Linked DNA regions of Elephas maximus indicus. The protein of the gene in region 1 purifies or fractionates together with the protein of each later gene. This does not show direct contact. Links are inferred from orthologs where the notes say so. Each region holds a gene or a part of one and is shown in the gene's direction. Other genes may lie near its edges.

Region 1 (10,476 bases):
TTTCCTCACAGTTAGGAGGCTAGAAGTCCGAATTCAGGGTGCTGGCTCTAGGGGAACTCTTTCTCTCTCTGTCGGCTCTGGAGGAGGGTCCTTGTCTCTGTGAGCTTCTGCTCCTGGGAGATCTTCATGTGGCCTGGCATCTCTTTTCCCCCATCTCTGCTCTCTGGTTTAATCTCTTTTATATCTCAAAAGAGATTGACTCAAAATACACTAATCCTGCCTCATTAACAAAGACAACCTATTCTCAAATGGGATTATAACCACAAGCATAGAGGTTAGGATTTACAATACATACTTTTGGGGACTTGGGTTGGGTTAATTCAATCCATAACAGGCTTCCTCCCACCCCCAATCAGCTATGACCCTACTAGGACATGGAACCAGTTCATTCTAGCTGGAAACCCTGCTAAGAATTTGCATTTGTATCAAGCTCCTAGGCGATGCTAATGCTGCTGGCTAGGGACCAATTCTCAAAACCACTAGTAGAGCCCAGTCCAAACCAAACCCACTGCCATGGAGTCAATTCCAACTCATAGCGACCCCATAGGGTTTCCAAGACAGTAAATCTCTACAGAAGCAGACTGCCACATCTTTCTCCCAAGGATCCCTCGGTGGTTTTGAACCGCCACCCTTTTGGTTAGCAGTCAATCACTTTAACCACTGTGCCACCAATGCTCCTAGTAGAGCCGCGGTTCTCAAAATTTATTATACATAAGAATCACCTGGGGATCTTGTTAAACTGTAGATTCTGATGCAGTATATCTAGGGTGGGAATAGAAATTCTCAGCAGTGGTTCCAGTCCACACGGGACAAAGGCCACAGTCTCCTCAGCTGTGCTGTTGTTGTTGGACTCATAGGCCGACTCACAGCCCTGTGTGCAACAGAATGAAACACTTCTGGGTCCTGTGCCATCCTAACACTCAGCCGTGTTACCTCAGGCCAATCACTCAACCTCTTTGAGTTTTGGGTTCTTGGCATATAAAATGCAGATGATAATACCTACCTCATAAAGTTGAGGTGAAAATTAAATGGGATCACCTCCACACAGTCCTTAGCCTGGTGCCTAGCACAAGGTAGTGGCTTCTTTAGAACAGGCAAGTTCTTCCATGCTCAAGGTTATAACTATCACCTGTGCCTGAGTGACTCGGCTGTTCAATAGCTGTTTAGTGCCAGACCCTGTGTTCAAAGGATGAATAAGTTAAGAACCCTCCCTCAAGAAACGCTAAAGGAATTGCTAAGCCATGGCCTTGGGTCTCTAAATCACCCCCACTCTCCAGAACCTCCTCCAAAGAGTCACCCCTTCCCACCCCCATGGAGGAGTAGAACTGCCTCCCCAATGGCTTAGGATCCCGTCTGAATGCTCCTCTCTCCCACTCCCACCTGTCCAGTATTACAGCCTGACAATTCCAGTTCTGCTACTATCCATATGACCTTAGGCCAGTGGTTCTCAACCAGGGGCCATTTTATCTCCCCTCCCTAGGGACATTTGTCAATGTCTGAAGACATTTTTGATTGTCATAACTGGGGGCGGAGTCACTTAGTGGCATTTAATGGGTAGAGAGGCCAGGGATGCTGCTAAACACCCTGCAATGCACCGAACAGCTCAGCTCAACAAAGAATTATTTGGTCCTTTTTTTTTTTTAAATGTCAGTGGTGCCAAGGTTGGGAAATCCTGCCTTAAATGATTTCAGTTTTCTCATCTGTAAAATGGGGATAATAGTAGTATCCATTTGCTAGAGTTATTATGTAAATTCAGAAGATTATGCAAACACCCAGTGCCTACCAACAGTCCATAAATATTCCCTAGAATAATTGTTATTAGGATTCCTCTGAAACCTTCCTGGTTTCATCCCCCTGTTGAGACTCAGCCCAGTTTAGCTTGTCTTGCCAATACCAATGCCTCTGACTCTTTCCTTACTGGTCTTGATGCCTCCCTTCTCCTTTTGACCCCAAGCCCTACCACGCAGCTAGAATTTTCTGGCTCAGAGCCCATCCCAGTACCAGAGCTCTTCTCAGCTCCCTGCCTCCACCTCCCACTTCTCTTCCCGTAGTCTCCGACCTCACCTCCCTGCTCTTGCCAACTTCAGCAACTCTACACAGACTTCCTCCCAGCACCAGTCCACACCGCGCATCTCTCATGCTGCCAGCCAAAGTGGCCTAAGATAGTGAAGCACACCCTAGATTTGGACCAGGCTATCCGGTTTCTAGTCCAAGCTCTGAGCTCTGGCTATTACTTACTGTCTAGTCTTGGGAAAGCAAGCCTCACCTTTAAAACAGGGAAGTAACCTCCAGCCCATGAAGGGGTTTTGTGGACCAAGTTAGAGAATGTATTTGAAAATGTACAACTATAAACGGCATAAAAGTATGATTCGCTGTTTGAGAGCATTGCCCTGCTTTATATTTTTATTTCCATAGCACTTAACCACCTTCTAACAAACTGTAAATTTGTATCTTTTGTTTATGGGCTCCACTAGAATATCAGCTCCATGAGGCAGGGATATTGGTCTGTTTTATTCACTGCTGTTTCCCCAGTGTCTAGAACAGTGCCTGGCATGTAGTAAGTGTTCAATAAGTGTTTGTTAAATGACTGAATTCACTGTGTATACAGCACCTCTGTAGAGTCCCTAGATCTCTCTTTTCCAAGAAGCCTTCCTTTAAATGCATTTTACCTTATTTAATCATTACAACACTCCCATTTTACAGATGAGGAAACTGAGGCTGAAAGAAGTGAGTCTTGCTTAGAATCACTCTTCCTGAAAAGTAGCAGGGCCAGATGCATTTGTTCATCCAAGAATCACTGAGCATCTGTTGTGTGCCGGGCACTGGCCAGATGTTGGGGTCACAGATGACCAAGACTTGGGCCTTTCTGTCCCTCAAAGAGCTCATCTTTGAAGGGGGGGATGTAGAGGGAGGCCCAGAATGCTATAGGAGCACAAAAGAAAGGCCTCCACCAAGATCATTGGCCTCTAAGACAGGTGCCCCTTCCCTCCCCAAGCCATCCCCTGGTCTTCACCCACCATATCCTGAGATCACTCATTAACTCTCCAGGCCCCAGCCTCCTGGGGTTCATTTAGAATTTATTATCCAATTCAGTGCCCTATGCTACTCTTTGTGCTTGTTGGTTTTGCCTCTCCCTGTCTTTTTTTTTTTTTTTTTCAGTCTACCCTACCCGTGGGCAGCTTCCTCGAGGGCCAGTGTAGCATCGCTGTACCCTGTCCACCCTCTGCACACTGAGGAGCTCTGTCCTCATGTGTCTAGTAGACTTTCTGGCCATGTTACACATGAGCAACCAAGGCCCAGAGAATTCAGTAGCTGGTCTGGCATCACGCAGCAAGAGAGAGGTAGGTTTGGAACCTGGTTGCCACCCAGGAACAATTCCCCTCCACCCTCACCCCAGCAGACCCAGCCCTGTGGGACCTGATCTCTTCTGCTCTCCTGGGAAAGCAAACAGATAGCATTTGGGGGGCCAGGGTTAGGATGAAATGTTCAGGAACAAAGGCCCACTTTGAAGTTCAAATTAGGAATTGATGCCATTGTGGTGGGAGGGAAGGCCTTTTGGAAAGAGCCCAGAGTGAAATTTGGGGTGAAAGCCCTGTTCCTTTCTCCTGCCCCTTCTCCCCAAAGATGAGGTGGTCCAGGATAGGAAGAGTTAAGTGTGGTTTTGCCTTCCCAGCCAAGAGGGGAAGCCAGGCCACTGGGTGGGGCGGAGGGGGGGCTCGGTGCCAGGGAGGGGCTGAGGCAGCGGGAACAGCACGAGCCGTCCCCTCACGTTTCTCTGGCTCAGCCACCCTGCCTCTGCTCTTGGTTTGGGGAACAGGAGAGGGAGAAGCAGAACAAGGCTTTTTGTTTTGTCTGGGAAGCTGAGGGTGGGGTGCTGCACCCTGGGGGAGAGGGCTGCAGGGAGGGGAGTCATGTCCTGAGTCCCAGAGGTGGGTGCTTACCCCACTGGCCAGTCACCCTCACAGAGATGGGGACCTAGGCACCCCCTCCCATCAGTCCCTCCCTGAACAGAGTCCCTGCCTTAATCCCACTACTGCCCCTTGTGCACTTTGAAGCCTGGCTCCAGAACCCAGAACTGAGGAGCTGCCCAGCCCTGCTTCCCCTGTCTATTACAGAAATCCTGCTATCTGGGAGCTGTAGGAGTTAGCAACATAATTTAATTTCCTGGGTTCCTCATCAGAGAATAAACTGTGAGAGGCATCAGGCGGGTCAGGCAGGCAGATGGGTCCTCGAGCCTCAGCACTGACACCTCTTAGAGTGGATTAGGTGGCTGGTGGGGTCAGGGCCAGGATTAGGGGGGGGAGCAGGAGGCTGGTCAGAGGGTCCTTGGTGAGGCCCAAGGCTCCAAGGCCAGGAAGTCTGGGGTCCTGGGTGCTCCTGTCATGTAAGAGTCCTGGTTCCCTCCCCAGAGCCAGCTGCAAATCAAACCTGGCCAAGAGGAGTGTAGTGAGGGAGTGCTGGCCTTTGTAGCCAGTGAGGCTGTGGGTTCTTGGCTATCCCTAACCCCCTCCTTTCTGGCTGGAACTGGGATGAAGACCCAACATTGGCTGCCCACGCCCTGGCCCTGCTCCCCCTTTTAGGCCCCTCTGGGAACCACAAAAATCTGGGACCTGGTGTCCTGGCAACATGATGAGCGCACGCACAGCTCTGGTATCTGTTTTAAATTATCCATTAAAATAAGTACAGTTCTGGAAAAAAATAAGTACAGTCCTGGAGTTGGCTGGGTGGGGTGAGGAGCAGAAAGGGACTGAAAGGGGGAGAAACCTAGGCATCCTATTTTCCAACTGCTTGGGACCAAAGGAAGGGGGCAGGAGATGGGGGGTGCAGATGCCTGGGTCCTATTCTTGGCCTTCTCTGGGAAACTGGGCTTGGGTGTAAGACCCAACACTTGGTTTCGAAGGGAATAAATTCAGACAGAAGATAGGAGAAAACCCAAAAAACCCATTGCTGTCCAGTCGATTCTGATTCATAGCGACCCTATACGACAGAGTAGAACTGCCCCATAGGGTTTCCAAGGCTGTAATCTTTATGAAAGCAGACTGCCACATCTTTCTCCCAGAGCCGCTGGTAGGTTCGAACTACCAACCTTTCCGTTAGCAATGGAGCTCTTGTGCCATCAGAGCTCCTTGAAGATGGGGTAAAGGGACCCCCAATTCCTGATTCTACCCCAAGACTGAGGGGGTAAAGGAACTCAGGACCCAGAACTTCGCTGTCCCCCGGGGGAACCCCGGCATTCTTTCTCCACCCCACCCCTGGCATGCCGAGATGCAGCTTTGAATGGGCTGCCCACGTGCGGAGGGGGAGTAGGGGTGACTCACTGTTACTACGGGGAGGGAAGGGGGGGAGAGGGAAGGGGGAGCCTGTGGTGGAAGCAGGGTGAGTCACCCTGCTAGCCACCAGCCTCCTCCCTCCCCCCACTTTCCTGTAGCCCAGCCTGCCCGCCTGGACCCCTCCCTTTGCTTTACAACTGGTTCCCCCTTCCCCCTGCCCTTTGCCCACCCACTCTCATCCCTTGGCTCTGCCCTCTACCCCAGAAGGCAGAGGGAGTCGGGGAAAGCTTGGAGCTAGGAGGACTGAGTAGGCAGGAACCAAGACGCAGGAGCTTCAGCGAAGTCCTAGGCAGAAGGCAGTGCGCGGGAGAGGGTGGGGCCCGTCTCCGCCCCCGTCCCCCAGGTCCTCTCAGCTCTTCGCCGATCCCACCCGGCCCCTGTGGGTATGTGACGGCCCCTTTAAGAACAGTGGCCACTCCTCCTTTTCCATAGACCTATTAGAGCCTTTGCCCCGGCGTCAGTGACTCAGAGAGTTCGCGGGAGCACTGCATCTGCACTAGCCAACCCGGATCCCGAAGTCCGACAGCGCCCGGCCCAGATCACCACGCCTGCCAGGAGCAAGCCCAGAGCCAACCGGCCGGCGCGCTCCGACCCCGAGCAGTCTCTGTCCTTCAGCCCGAGCCCCGCGCCCTTCTCGGGACCCCTGCCCCTAGGGCAGCGCTGCCATCCTGCCGGCCATGGAGACTCCGTCCCAACGGCGCGCCACCCGCAGTGGGGCGCAGGCCAGCTCCACCCCGCTGTCGCCCACTCGCATTACCCGGCTGCAGGAGAAGGAAGACCTTCAGGAGCTCAATGATCGCCTGGCGGTATACATCGACCGTGTGCGCTCACTGGAGACGGAGAACGCAGGGCTGCGCCTTCGCATCACCGAGTCCGAGGAGGTGGTCAGCCGCGAGGTGTCCGGCATCAAGGCCGCCTATGAGGCCGAGCTTGGAGATGCCCGCAAGACCCTCGACTCGGTGGCCAAGGAGCGCGCCCGCCTGCAGCTGGAGCTGAGCAAAGTGCGAGAGGAGTTTAAGGAGCTCAAAGCGCGGTGAGTGCGCCCAGGTGGCAGCTTGCCGGGCCCGGAGCAGAGAGGGCAGGCGGAGCGGCGCCCTTGCCGGGCTACAGGAAGGGAGCGAGAGTGCTTTGGGAGGCTGATAAGTTTGCCATATAGTCTCCTCCCTCCCCGGAACTGCCCCAGGCGAGGGACTGGCGGTGCCAAGGAGAATAGTTGTCATAGGACAGAGAGGGAAGGGGTCTCTGGGAGAGGGTGGGAAATACAAGGAACAGTGGGAGCATCCGGGCCAAATAGGGGCTCGTGGCAGGCGGCATTCCGTTAGGGTGGGGTTTGCCTGCCATTTGGAGCCTGGGGGAGAAGCTTGGTCAAAGCAGAACTGGCCCTGCTAGGTATGAAAAATCTAGGCACCCAGGGCACACTGGAGTGGGTGAGAGGGCCCTATTAGAACTTTCTTGGCAGCCTTGGCACTATGCCAGATTTGGGCAAGCTGGCTCTGAGCACGTGATGCACACTAAGACAGAACTCCCAGGCTGGCAGATGTCCAGTGGTGCTGGAGAGAGGTCACAAGGCAGGGTGACCCCCTTCTTCCCCTCCAGGGGCGTGGCAGTGGCCTCCTTGGCATGACCCTTTCCTGAATTCTTGCTAAGAGTCAGAAGCTCTTTCTTACTCCCTACATGCCTGAGACCTTTCCTGAGCTCTGACAGGCCCACCAAAGGGCTCCAGGAGTGCAGCTCCCCCGCAGCTCCCACAGCCCTTGGCCTGCTTGGCCCAGGAATGCAAGGGAGGGAGGGAGACCGAGGGCAGAGGCTCCAGGCTCAGGAAGTTGTGTTATGCCCAGGTCTGGTGGCACCCCCCCCACCTTGGTCGTCTTGCCTGGTGTCTGCAGAGGGTCAGGCCTCTATCCCTCCCTCTCCCTCCCTGTCTGAGTGAGCCACTTTCATTTTCCCAGCCAAGCCCGAGCAGTCTTTGCTCTTGGTCTGGCCCATCCTCTCAGCCGCTGACGTTTTTGATCTTTGCCTTATTAAACTGCTGGAATACAGTGACATTTTTGAAATCCAGCCGTTGGAAGCTTCAGGCCACTCCCACCTCACCCAGTCCTGCCCCACCCTACCACACCCTACTCCACTCTACCCTTTGGAAGCCTGGAAGTTTAGGCCCTCTTCTTCCAGCCCCCCAAGAATTTGGTTTCCTTCTCCCTGCTCCCCTTTCCTCTATGAAGACCCAGGCCTAGAGATCCCAGGAGGGCCTGTGGGTTTTGACCTCCCCTCTCCCTCCGCATCATTTTCTCCAAACTCCTGCTCCTTCCAGATCCCCTCTATGTATTCTATGGTTGTTCTACCCCTTCACCACCCCTGACCCTTCACTACACTCTGCTCAGAGGTATAGTGGGTGTGACCAGATCCTATCACCCTTCTAATGAGTGGAAGGAAGTTCCTTGGGGAGACATGGGTTCAACCTGTTGAAAGAGATCACTCCTATCTTTTTTCCCTACTAATATGAACAACTTAGCAGGACAAACTGGAGGCAAACAAGGTGTGTCCCTACCCGCACTGGACTGGTTGGAAGAATTAAGAGAATTAGTGCTCTAAACTAGTCCACTCAACTGCCTAGGCAGCCCCTTGCCTTCCAGATTCTTATGAAGGACATCTTTAGCAGATGTTTTTCTTGAGAAGACATTGATCTGGCCCACAGGATGAGCAGCGTCTATAGTCTCTTGCTAACTCAGCCACACCGGTCTGTCTCTTTTGCCTTCTGGTGCAGCTGTCCAGGCTTGGGACACCAGGCGGGTGTGTGTGCACGTGGGGCAGAGGCGGGGGTGGTGTGTGTACTTGTTATATTTAGCCACCTGCCTCTCTTCTCCCCCACTGATCCTGACTGGGCTTCCGGGAAAGGGGGGCGGGTGGTGCACACCTGGATCCCAGGCTGATGGGAAGTAGGGGTGAAGGGACGAAGGGGGCTTGGACTGGAGTGCCTGTCCCCTTTTATGTCTCCAGTAGGAGGAGCCAGGATTTGGTCCTCCCTTTTGCGCCTGCTGTCCTCAGGGTGGGGTGGAGAAGTGGGTAGAATGAAGAGTTTGGGAGAGGAAGAAAGGTATTGCCTCAATCCCTCCCACTGAAGCTTGGAGAGAAGGTGTTGTCTGGTTTAATGTTTAATTAGAGCTCAGAGTTCAGGGTCAGGCTTGGAGTTGGGATGCAGAGCTGCCTGTAAGACCCTGTAGCAATCCCTGGCCCAGGCTGGGTACCTTGACCACACCCAGGAGTTTGGGGCTTCCTTTTGCTGGGCTAGGTTATAAGCTTCCCGCAGAAGGCCCTCCTTCCCTCCCCCCACCCACCCAACCACACACACACACTCTTTTTACCCTGGAGCCTGAAAGATTTGGATACCCAAGTGCAGGGAGAATGGGAAGGTTGAGAGTGATAGGGAAGGCCCGTCTGGGGGTCCAGGCTGGGAGCTGGGCCCCACCCCAGGTAGGACAGCTGAGTGGATGACTCAGATGCTGCCTCCTCCTTCCTACCCTGGTGGCTTTTCAAGAGACAGGGTGGACATAGCAGATGTCTTAAAGGAGGGGATGGAGATCTGAATGTGTTAGTGTTCTATGCCCCTTCCTACTGCATCTTGGGGTCCTTTTCCTCTGGTGATGTTCTAGAATCAGGGTTCTGGACAGGCAATATGCACAAGTGGTTCTAGAGTTGAGTCCAGAGTTATGGGCTTGGGCTGTAGGGGTTGCTGGGGTTGCCAGGGTCTGTGCCTTCCCATACGGAACTGACCAAGGAAGCCTGAGTCACAAGTAGGGTGATCCCAAGCCCACAAAGCAGAAGTACCTCTTCCCCCCGGACAGGGCTCTGGTGCTTGATGACTTCCTGGATTGTCCACCTTATGCAGCCTCACTGAGAGGTGCAGGCTCTGATAGGACAAGGATAGCAAAGGCCACAGAGGTTTGTCCCATATCACACACAGCAAGTGGATAACAGGCCAGGACTTGAGCCCAGGCCTTCTGACTCCCAGCCAAGTACTCTTACCATTAAACCTCACTTCTCTAGCTTAAGGGATAGGTCAAAGGGCTCTGAGGGTGGGGGCTAGAGGCCCAGCCCCTGGGTTCTGAGCTTCACTCCTGAGGCCTGGAGTTTCTGCTCTGGGACCTGTGATGCCTCGATGCTCTGCTCTCCTGCCAGGGCCTGTTAGCACTTGATCAACAGCCCTTGCCCCAGCCTGTACCTGGAAAGACCTGTGTCCCTGCCAGATCATGCATGGTGAGATCGAGCTCTGGGAGGCTACAGGAGGCTGGGGATTCCTGTCTTGAGATTGTCTTGAGACTCGTCATGAGCATTGTCTACCCAGAACAGAAGGAGATTATACACTTTGGCAGAGACATTAGGAGAATGGGGTAGGGGCCTTTGGGTAGCCCTGGGCCCCAGCCCTCATCTGAGGGTACCTCTTGGTTTTACCTTTCCCATCTCCCTGCCCTGAAGTCCATGTTTTGATCTAAGGGAAAGAAGAAGGTACAACTAAACCTGGGGACCGAGAAGTACTTAAGGAGCCCGGGAGAAACAAAAGAAAGAAAAATTTCTCAGTAGGGTCCTGATTGCCTTCCCATGAACAATGCCCTTGGTTAGTACTTCTCCTGGCCTCCAGGAGCCTGAGATCCTGACTCAAATGAGAAGTATCCATTAACCTCACTCCCAGCCCCTCCCCCAGTGATCCAGTAGCTCAGTGTCAGGCTGAGCCAGGGACAGCTGCAGGGACAACTGGTAAGAGATGCATTCACCTACCAGCTGTACCCGCTGTTCTCTTCCTCTTCAGCCGCTTACCACCTCCAGCAGCTGCAGCAGCCAAGACCAAGCCTGGCTCAGAAGCTAGACCCAAGGGAAGTTCATCCCATTCCCACCCCTTTGGATTCCTAGTACTGAAGGTGACACAGGCTGAGCCTGGACATGTCTAGAGAGAGGGTTTTTGGAGAGGTTGTAGGGTCTCCTATCCCTTAACAAGAGCCAAGGTAATCCACCAACAAATTGCCAGGCAGGGGGGGTAGTAGAAACAGCCCTGACCCTCAGTGTTCTTAGTTCTAGACTTGATTTTGCCACTAAATTGCTGTGTGACCTTGAGCAAATCACCTCCCCTCTCTGGATTTCCCCAGCTATAAAAGAA
Region 2 (9,989 bases), about 180 Mb from region 1:
TGGTTTCATAATTTGCTGGAACAACTCACGGAATTTATGGAGAGTATGCCATACTTGGAGCCCTGGTGTCACAGTGGTTAAAAGCTCGGCTGCTAACCAAAAGTTCGGTAGTTCAAATACATCAGCCACTCCTTGGAAACCCTATGGGGCAGTTCTACTCTGTCCTGTAGGGGCGCTGTGAGTTGCAATCGCCTGGAAGGCAACAGGTTAAGCCATACTTAAGAGGACAGATTTATTATAGCCAAAAAGGTTGCAAACAAAGGGACACCTAAGGCGAGGTTTGGGAGCGTTGCCACTGTGGAGCTTCTGTGTCCCCAGGGGCATGTTATCCTCCAGAGAGCAGATGTTCTCAGTCAAACAGGAAGATCCCTGAGCCTCTCTGTTCAGGGCTTTTATTGGCCAGTCCTGCACGAGAGGCTAAATCATGCCTCCTGAGGCTAGTTGATACAGGCTCCCAGGTGAGTCTTCGCTGATCTAGCCCGCCCCCACTTGTCAGCACAAATCTTGAAAGTCCCCAAGTGAGGCACCCCAGTTCCTCCAAGGGTTATTTCTCTGGACAAAGGCTGCCCTCCTCAAGGTAAAACTAGATTCTTTACCCCACACGGAGAGAGAGAGGAGGAGAGAAACAGACAGAGAGATTGATGTTAAGAAATTGAGAAAGATTGAGAGAGACAGAGAAACAGAGCCCAAAAGACTGAAAGAGAAAGAGCAGAGGAATGAGAGAGATCGAGAGAGAGAGCGAATGGGGGGTGCTGTCCTGGCTGCAGCAGGCCTTAGAACTCTGGCTCAGAGAATCAATGCCCCCCAAAGTCTAACCACTGTTATGTGGGGGTCCCCTCCTCATGAATTGTTTGTTAATACATCCACCAGCACCTATACAGTGTGTGTGTGTATGTATTTCCCCCCACTTTGGATTCTTTTTTTACATATGTGTTATATATACGTATTTAACGGAGTATCAAATCATATTGTTTTGCAGTCTGTTTGTTTTCACTTAGCCGATGTCCTTTAAAAAAGAATCGGTCTCCCCATGTCTTACCTCGTCTGGGTGCACAGTATTTACGTAACCAATCCCTTTTGACGGACACTGGGATTCTTTCCATTTTTTTTTTTTGCCGTTAGGAACAGTGCTTTGGGCACCTGTGCAAATGTTTCTTGGGAGCTGGCTTGATTAAACGTTATGGCCCATGACCTTGAATCCCTCCCTAGAGGCTGTTTCCCTTCCCTCCCACCAACGCAGTGGGGCAATGATGAGGATGAAAAGAGAAGCCGAGAGGGGGTCCCCTTGCTCCCCTGCCGCAGACCCCACCTCGCCTTGGTAGGACTCTGGGTGCCAGTGGGGAGTTGCCCGGGGAGAGGCAGAGGGCTGTTTGCAGAGCCTGATGCTGCCTCTGCTTTTGGAAGTGTGAGCTCAGCCTGGTTTGGGTCAAGGCAGTACTCCACGGTCCCCATTTTACTCACCTGGGGGTGGAAGCCAGCCCGGCCTTCATCACCCACTTCCTCACTGTCCTGCAGGTCTCCTTCCGCTACCATTGCCAGCTGTACTCCGAATGGAGAAGGACCAACCAGAAAGTCCGCCTGAAGCTCCGGGATGCAGAGGGCTTCGAGAGCAACCAGCACTCCCCACTCGCAGCTGGACTCCTGAAGAAGGTGGCCGAGGAGACGCCCGTGTGACAGCCCGGCTGGTGGGGTCCTGCAGCAGAAAGGGCAGAGGCAGCTGGGGATGCCCTTGTGTTCAGAAGGGCGGACGAACTCATCCAATCCCACACGGCCAGAATGCTTCACAGGCCAAGTGATGCCAAGCGGAGCTTCTTCTGGGATCACATGTGACTAGATTTCCAAGTTTTTTGCACACTGTCATATATGACAAGGACAGATGGATGCGGCCCCAAGCTTCACACAGAGCGGGCACCCTGATCTCATCCTGAGGTCCACTCAGCACCTTTCCCCGCTGGCAGCCATGGCTGGTGTGTCAAGGGGGCCGGAAAGCTCCGGCAAGCTTCTTGCGCTTTTCTGCCCCGGCAGACTTGCTTCCCTGGCATCTTCGACTTTATAAAGTTGCACTGTTTCTCCCAAGCCCACCCTAAGTGAATAAAGGGAGCCCTTGCTCAGCTTTGTCAGTGATATTTCTGAACTAGGCCTCAAAGCGAGGGGCCCCGGGGCCCAAGGGGAGTCAGGAGCCATGTGGAGGTAAAAAATACACTTGGCAGGTTTGAGGGATCACAGAACATAGGAAGCAGCGGTGAAGGCTGAATTTTCAAGTGACAAGCAGGTTGTTGTTGTCGTTAGGTGCGGTCGAGTCGATTTCAACTTACGGAGCCCCCATGTGACAGAGTAGAATTGCTCTGTAGGGTTTTCTCGCCTGAAATCTTTACGGATGCAGATCACCAGGTCCTTCTCCCATGGAGCTGCTAGGTGGGTTCAAACCACCAATCTTTTGGTTAGCAGCTGAGCGCTTAACTGTTGTGCCACCAGAATTCCTTGACAAGCAGGTAACACTGTTATATAATACGTACTTCCACTTCTTTTGCATCTACCATGGGCCAGACGGAAACCCTGGTGCCATAGTGGTTAAGTGCTATGGCTGCTAACCAAAAGGTCGGCATTTCAAATCCACCAGGCACTCCGTGGAAACTCTATGGGGCAGTTCTACTCTGTCTTATAGGTTCACTATAAGTCAGAATCGACTCAACGGCAGTGGGTTTTTTTTTTTTTTTTCTTTTTATGGGCCAGATACCATGCTGGGCCTATTGCACTCATTAATGAAGATCACATCCACCTTTATCGCCAGGCGGCATCCCTCTAACTCACAACTACCCTGGGGCAGGGGAGGAAGAAGGTATTACTCCCATTTTGTAGATGAGAAGACTGCGACCCAAGCAGGGAAGCTTTTGTCTCAAGTCCCACAGCTGTAGGACATGGACACGGAGATTGACCCCAGGTCTGTGCCGCTCTGGTGCTGCGCTAGGGGAAGCAGAACGTGGTCATGTTAATAACAGCCTGTCTTAGTTATTTAGTGCTGCTGTAACATAAATACCACAACGGGATAGCTGTAACAAATTTATTTTCTCACAATTTAGGAAGCTGGAAGTTCGAATTCAGAGCACTGGCTTTAGGGGGAGGCTTTCTCTTTCTGACAGCTCTAGAGGAAAGCCTTTGTCTCTTCAGCTTCTGCTTCCTGGTTCCTTGGAGATCTCCATACGTTTTGGCATCTATCTTACTCCATCTCTGCTTGCTTGTTTAATCCCTTTTATATCTCAAAAGAGATTGACTCAAGACATACCCTATGCTAATCCTACCTCATTAACACAACAAAGACAACCCATGGGATTATAGCCACAGGCATCAAAACCCAAAATCAAACCTGTTGCATTCCAGTTGATTCCAAATCATAGTGACCCTATAAGGACAGAGTAGGACTGATTGTCCCTTAGGGTTTCCAGGGAGTGCCTGATGGATTCAAACTACCTGCCTTTTGATTAGCAGCCATAGCTCTTAACCACTACGCCACCAGGGCTTCCAGCGACCCTATAAAAACCCAGAATCAAACCTGTTGCTGTTGAGTCGATTCCGACTCAGATTCCGACTCATAGTGACCTTATAAGGACAGAATAGAACTGCGCCACAGAGTTCTATGCGCAAGGAGCGCTTGGTGGATTCCAACTGTCGACCTTTCGGTTAGCAGCTTTAGCGCTTAACCACTACACCACCAGGGTTTCCAGCAACCCTGTAGAGGTTAGGAATTACAATACATATTTTTGGGGGACACAATTCAATCCATGACACATTACCTCCTCCTTGAAAGCTTTCTGTGCCCTCCGTATGCTGTTTTTTACACTAAGGGCTCTTTGCATGGGGTGGCATTGAACGCTCACAGCAGCCCTGAAAGGTGGCTTCTGGTGTTAACCACATTTGCAAATAAGCAAACTGAGGCTCAGAGAGTTTGGGTCACTTGCCCAAGGTCACACAGTGCTGAGGGTCCCAGCACAGTGATTTGTCCTGTGGCCCATTCTGTTTTATTTTTAATTTTATTATTATTTCCTGTTTCACTTTAATGATATTTCACCATTATTTTTAATAAATAAATCAACTTATGTCTAAGAAAGACAAAACATTACTAATACAGTTGTGGCCCCCAGCTACCCAATCAAACCACCTCACTCTCCCCAGAGGGGCCCACCACTTGGTGTTTATCCTTGCGAAGATTTCTTATACTTGTTCTAACATGTTGTTAGTTGCTACCAAGTCAGCTCCAACTCATGGTGACCCCATGTACAAAAGAACGAAACGTTGCCTGGTCCTACGCCATCTTCATGATCATGGGTATCCTTGAGTTGTGGCCACTGAGTATTTTGAGTGCTGTTCTGTTGTTTTGTGCATGAATCCCAGCATACGTAGCTCACCCCCAGAGGAAGAAAGCCCCTCCCTGCCAACAGTTTGGTTAGTAGTGTTGACAGTTTGAACCCAGCCATCAAACCCACCCAGACGCACCATGGAAGAAAAGCCTGGTGATCTGCTTTCTAAAGGTAAAAACAACCAGCTGGCTGTCAAGTCAGCTCTGACTCATGGCGACCACATGTGTGTCAGAGTAGAACTGTGCTCCATAGGGTTTTCCAGCCTGTGACCTTTTGGAAGCAGATTGCCAGGCCTTTCTTCCAAGGCCCTTCTGGGTGGGTTTAACCTAGCAACATTTTAGTTAGCAGCCGAGTACTTAACCATTTGCTCCAAAAAGCCTTGAAAGCCCTGTGGAGTGACGCTGTGGCATCTACTCAATGTCAACAGTTTGGCTTAGTTTAGGAGTTCCCAAACTGGGGTCAGAATGACCAGGCTAAATTAAGCAGCTGGGAGGGTGTGGTGGTTGAGCTGTTCAGCCAGAACCTGACGAAATGTAGTCATTCCATGAGAGAGAGAAAGCCAGTCTTTCCCTTGGCAAGCCTAGAAAGAATATGGTGGTTGAATGGGAACTTCTGCAGACCCCGTGAGGCATTTCACAGATCCAAAGACACCATAGGTAAACTTGGATGGGGAAGAGAGCCTGAGGCCTCTGGATACTCACCTGGGCTGCAGTCCCAATGTGGCTGCCCCAGGACACAGCCCCATAACAGCCCTGGACACACAAGGTTGAGAATAGAGCTGACACTTGGTTGGGACCCCACAAGGGAGAAGGGTCAGGTCAGGGCACAGCCCAGTACCAGGCAGGAACCCCAGTTCAGGTTAATGAAAACATCCATGAGCACTTACTCAGTCCCCAGCTATGTGTTTGGCTGCTGATTGACAGATGGGTTCAGGGAGGGAGATGTAGGCCAGGGTCTCTGCACCCAGAACCTTCCAGCATGGTAGGCGGACAGGTTGGACCCAGCTCAGATATTCAAGGTGCTTAGAGAGATGGTGCTTTTCACACCAGTCCTATTACCTGGATCACCCACGTTCTGCTCACAGTGTCTGGCTAACTCCTTTATGTTTTTGTACACTTTCCAGGAAGTCCCTGGGTACTGCAAATGGTTAAGCACGCTTGGCTGCTAACCAAAAGATTGGAGGTTGGAGTCCACCCAGAGAATCCTCGGAAGAAAGGCCTGGCGATCTACTGCTGAAAAACTAGCCCTGGAAAACCCTATGGAGCACAGTTCTAGTCTGACACACATGGGGTCGCCATGAGTTGGAGCGACTTGAAGGCAACTAATTGGTTGGTTGGTTGACGCTTCTAGAAACCCCTAGACAGCTGTCGCTGTCCCTTTGCCCCAGCTCTGGCTACAGAAAGCTGGGAGGGACTAGGTCCGGATGGGCGATGTTTCCTCAACAGACTTTGAAAACGGTTGAGCGATCCCGTCGGTGCCTAATGCAGGCTTGTCGCGGGAATGAATAACAGCTGCCAGTGTGCGCCTGCGCGCGGCGGGGGCGTGGCCCGGGGCCGGGGCGTGGCCGGGGCGGGAGGGGACAAGGCGGGAGCCGGCCGCGGCGCGTGCAGGCGTTACTGGTCGTGCCGGGTCACGTGAGCGCGCAGGCGCAGCGCCGCGCAGCTGCCTCGCTCACACAAAGCCCAGACGCGAAGAAAATGGCGGCAGGGGTCGAAGCGGCGGCCGAGGTGGCGGCGACGGAGCCCAAAATGGAGGAGGAGAGCGGCGCGACCGGCGTGCCGAGCGGCAACGGGGCTCCGGGCCCCAAGGGGTGAGTATTCCACTATTCCTTGGCCTGGGCTCTCTCGCGGCGGCCGGCAGCCTACTCGCGGCGGCGACTCCGTTAGTCTGTTGGCGGTCTTCCCCCGGCGCGGCCTCGGCCTTGGCCTTTCCCGCAGGGCCGGCCGAGGAGCCAGGCGGCCTCGGGAGCGCCTCACGGCTTGTCTCCCACTCCTCAGGCCTCAACCCCCATCAGGTCGGGACCGACCCTGACGTCGAGGCCTCAGGCCCCGTCTCTGCCCCCGAGGATAATGGCGCGGGCCCTGGAACCGGTGAGCCCCGGGTCCGAGACCGGCTCGGCGGTCCGGTGACCTTGGGCGCGTGGCGTAACCCCTGCTCCTCTCCCTGGGTCTCCGTTTCCTGATTCGTAAAGTGGGGGAGGGGGGAGAGTGCGCGCGCAGGGCCCCGCGCAGTGTCGGCCCCGGTAAACGGTAGCGTTGGGGGGGTGTCGGGAAAGGCCGCGAGGGCGGATCAGGCTGTCCCCCCCCCCAGCTGGCTCGCTCTTTCCTCCCTCCCTCCTCTCCCCTTCCTTCTCCTCTCCCCTCCCCCCCCCGCGTCGCCCACTCCCCCTCCCCTCTGTAAGTGCCTCTCTTGGAACCGCCCCACGCTCTGGCCCGGCCTGAAGTCCCTCTCGGCTTCCGCGCCGCCTCCCCAGGTGCGCAGTAGGTATTCGTAGAGTGATCGGACCTGCTGGTCGATTGTCACCCTTAGAAACAAACAAACACAAACAAAAAGTAAGGGATTAAAAAAAAAAAAAATGCAATCTCCGTCCGTGTTGCAGGGAAAATTTTTCCATCGTTAGTCTGGCTCATCCACTTCCAGACCCCGTCATGTTTTCGAGGCCTGCTCGGGTCCCTGTCTCGGGTCCTTGTCTCGGGTCTTTGGAATTTGAAAATTGAGTTAAAGGAGGCGGCCTCCTCTTGTGGCTCGGTGAAACCCGGTCTTTCGGATTACAGGCACTGGAAAAGAAGATCTGAAGTGTTTTGGCTCCAACCAGCGGCCGCGGGGGGAGGGGAGGAAAAGGCTGGGCGCACCTTTGATTTCCCACAGATATTTTAAAGTGAGTAACGTAGAGTTGAGTTTTCAGCAAGTACAAGATGTTTGGGAGTTGAGTGACTGTTGTTAAAGCATTTATGTTAATGAGTACGTAGTAAATGCCAGCTATGTTGTTGGATGGGAAAATATTTCAGGCCCTGTCTCTACTTAGGTGGGGAGGGACAACATAAATGTAAAAGTGTGTTTTGAGCCAATAGAAAGGTTGTGGTCCTCGGAAATCAAGAAAAAGTTATCTTCTAATTATTCCCCAAACTGGAAACGCTGGAAAGGGACGTCATTTTGTCTTTTTTCACCAACTGTCTAGGGGAGCCTAGAAGGACTTCTGAGATACATCTAGGTGTCCTGTATTGCTTTTTTTTTTTTTTTTCTTCTTCAAAGCAGTTACTACAAGATGGAGGGCTGCTAGAACCATGCAGGTGAAAGGTTGAATTAGAGATTATAGCACATGAAGTACATTTTTAAAGCTTTCCACTTTCCACCATCCATTTTCATATACCAAAAACTAAACCTGTTGCCATCGAGTTGATCTGGACTCATAGCGACCCTGTAGGACACTAGAACAACTGCCCCTTAGACTTTCCAAGGAGCGCCTCGTCGATTTGAACTGCCGACCTTTAGGTTAGCAGTCATAGCAGCTAACCACTACGCCACCAGGGTTTCCCATTTTCAAGTGGATAGACATTATGTGACATTTTCACTTGACAGATGTGATAAGTGGAGTGTTAAAAACCTGAAGGCAGAGATAAGACAAGCCCTTGTTGGAAAGATCCTTAGAGTCTAGAACAGGCTTAATAGAGGGTACTTTAGGAAGCTAGCAACACTTAGATCTTTTTCCTAGAGCCTGTGAAAAACTTTTTTTGCATTGTGAAGCTCTTGAAGCTCTTCAGTAGCCCACGGAGAGGGGACTCAGGTTTTTGCAGTGAGGTAATTATATGCAGTGATGGAAGTGAGTGGAGTGTCGGGAGCACAGCAGGCTGCCCCCCTTCCCGACCTAACCTGATGTGGTGGGAGTGTTCCACCAGGAACAGGAAGGGGAGAGAAGATGGTTGGGGAGAGGCAGAGAGGACAGTGTCCAGAGGACCTGGGGTTTTGGTATATGCTTTGTATGTTTATAAAGAACTGAAGCTGTTGTAGTGTTGAAGGCTGGGGCCAGCTTGTGGGCAGTGAATTCAGGCTAAGGAATTTGGGTTTTTATTTCAAAAGTGTTTGAGAGATAAGTCAGAAGGCAGAAACTTGGGCCTGCTGACCTCTCTCTACCAGGAGTGTGCAGTTGACCCATAAGGCAGTGATGCCAGCGAGCTTGACCAGACCCTAGGTTGGACAGTTTGTTTTGCAGTTACTGGGTGTGAGAAGAGGGATTATTCTACTTGGGTGGGAAATCTCTTCCATCTAAAGGCAGCCAAGATTCAGAGTTAGGGTGTAATGTAGTAGTGGAAAATCACTCATTTTGGAGAAATAGAAATGTTTGATTTTTATAAAGGTTGCGCCATGTATTAGAAATCTGCCACTTAAGCTACCCCCCCCCCCCCAGTTATTTTTGTGGCTGAATCAGAAAACAGATGGATTGGTTATTTTAAAAATAAATATATTCGATATAGATTCTTGGGGAGCAATATTAGTCTTAACTCTGTTTTATAATCCAGAAAAAAAAATTTTTTAAGCGATTGAGAAAACTCAGGTTAAGGAGCTTGACTCAGTACTCTAGGGGAGGCCATCTTGATTCCAAGATCCTTGCTGCTTCCACAGTGACCACTCACTGAGCAGTCATTTGAATGGCTTTATTTAAACCAGATTTTCTGTGCTTTACAAGGATTGTCGTGTTTGCTGTACTTTTCAAAGTGACTGCATACATGATAGAAAGGTTTTTTGAGGCACATTAGATGGTGAGCTCAGGATTAGAATAGGGGGCTCTGGATTATTTGAGTACGTGCTACCAGTCCTTAACTTTCACTTGGCTCTTTGATATTATTCATGGCTAGGGAAAGAGATACTAGTCTGCGAAGATTAGGTTGCTTGTGTTTTTTTTTTGTTTGAGTTCTCAGATGGGCTCTTCCGTTACCTTGTTTTGTTTTCATCGAGTTAAAAGCTGAATGTCTCTTCAGTAGTCTGTAATGAGTATAGGTGCCAAGGTTTCCTCAGCCACTGCCCTTGTTGGCTTGTTTTAAAGCTTAATCAGGACGTGCAGTGTTAGAAGGCTAGGAGTGAATCAGTCCCTTTCCCCACCCCCTTCAAGAAAATTACTGGTACAAAAATATATCATTTGTCAGTCAAGAGCCTTAAACCTGTAAGTGTAGATACTGATCTCCATTTCCAAATGAGGGAACTGAAACCTAGGAAAGAGATGGTGACATGGGGTTCAAACCCAGACATGTGACCCTAAAGACTGAGCTTTTCTTTATCACTGCTTTCTTTTTTTGCATTTAAAATTTACGAAGTTGCTTTTTGCCTGTGTTAGTCTTTGTCGATTCTTACAGCATCCGTGCGAACTACCATGGATACGTGTTCTCCTGGTGTTTCTGGTGAAAAGCCAGAGAGCTAGAACTTGAATCGAGTGCATAGTTTAGGTGGTAGGCCTGGAGCTGGAATACGGTAGCGCTATGAATAGTGTGCTCCACATCTTCAGTGCATTAGAGGATCTCAGGAGTTACAGGATTTCTGTGAAGAAGCAGTTTGCATAAAGGGTGGTTCTCAGGGGACCTGGGGGAGACTTGTCCCTCAGGAGATGTGATCGGAATTTCAGGGTGTTGAGGGCGCCATTTT

The links.
Region 2: the proteins of LMNA (region 1) and HNRNPM fractionate together in Homo sapiens (co-fractionation; 3 studies listed by BioGRID, with this or other methods). This does not show direct contact. The link is inferred for Elephas maximus indicus from reciprocal best matches to the Homo sapiens genes LMNA and HNRNPM.

The regions. Positions count from the first base shown.
Region 1 is NC_064821.1:193,910,056-193,920,531, forward strand, and holds the start of LMNA (lamin), read left to right. Parts: upstream 1-5,766; 5' UTR 5,767-6,007; coding exon 6,008-6,363; intron 6,364-10,476.
Region 2 is NC_064821.1:13,147,277-13,157,265, forward strand, and holds the start of HNRNPM (heterogeneous nuclear ribonucleoprotein M), read left to right. Parts: upstream 1-6,006; 5' UTR 6,007-6,052; coding exon 6,053-6,165; intron 6,166-9,989. Other genes in the region: E3 ubiquitin-protein ligase MARCHF2, read left to right, coding at 1,516-1,674. UniProt on the Homo sapiens protein: Pre-mRNA binding protein in vivo, binds avidly to poly(G) and poly(U) RNA homopolymers in vitro. Involved in splicing.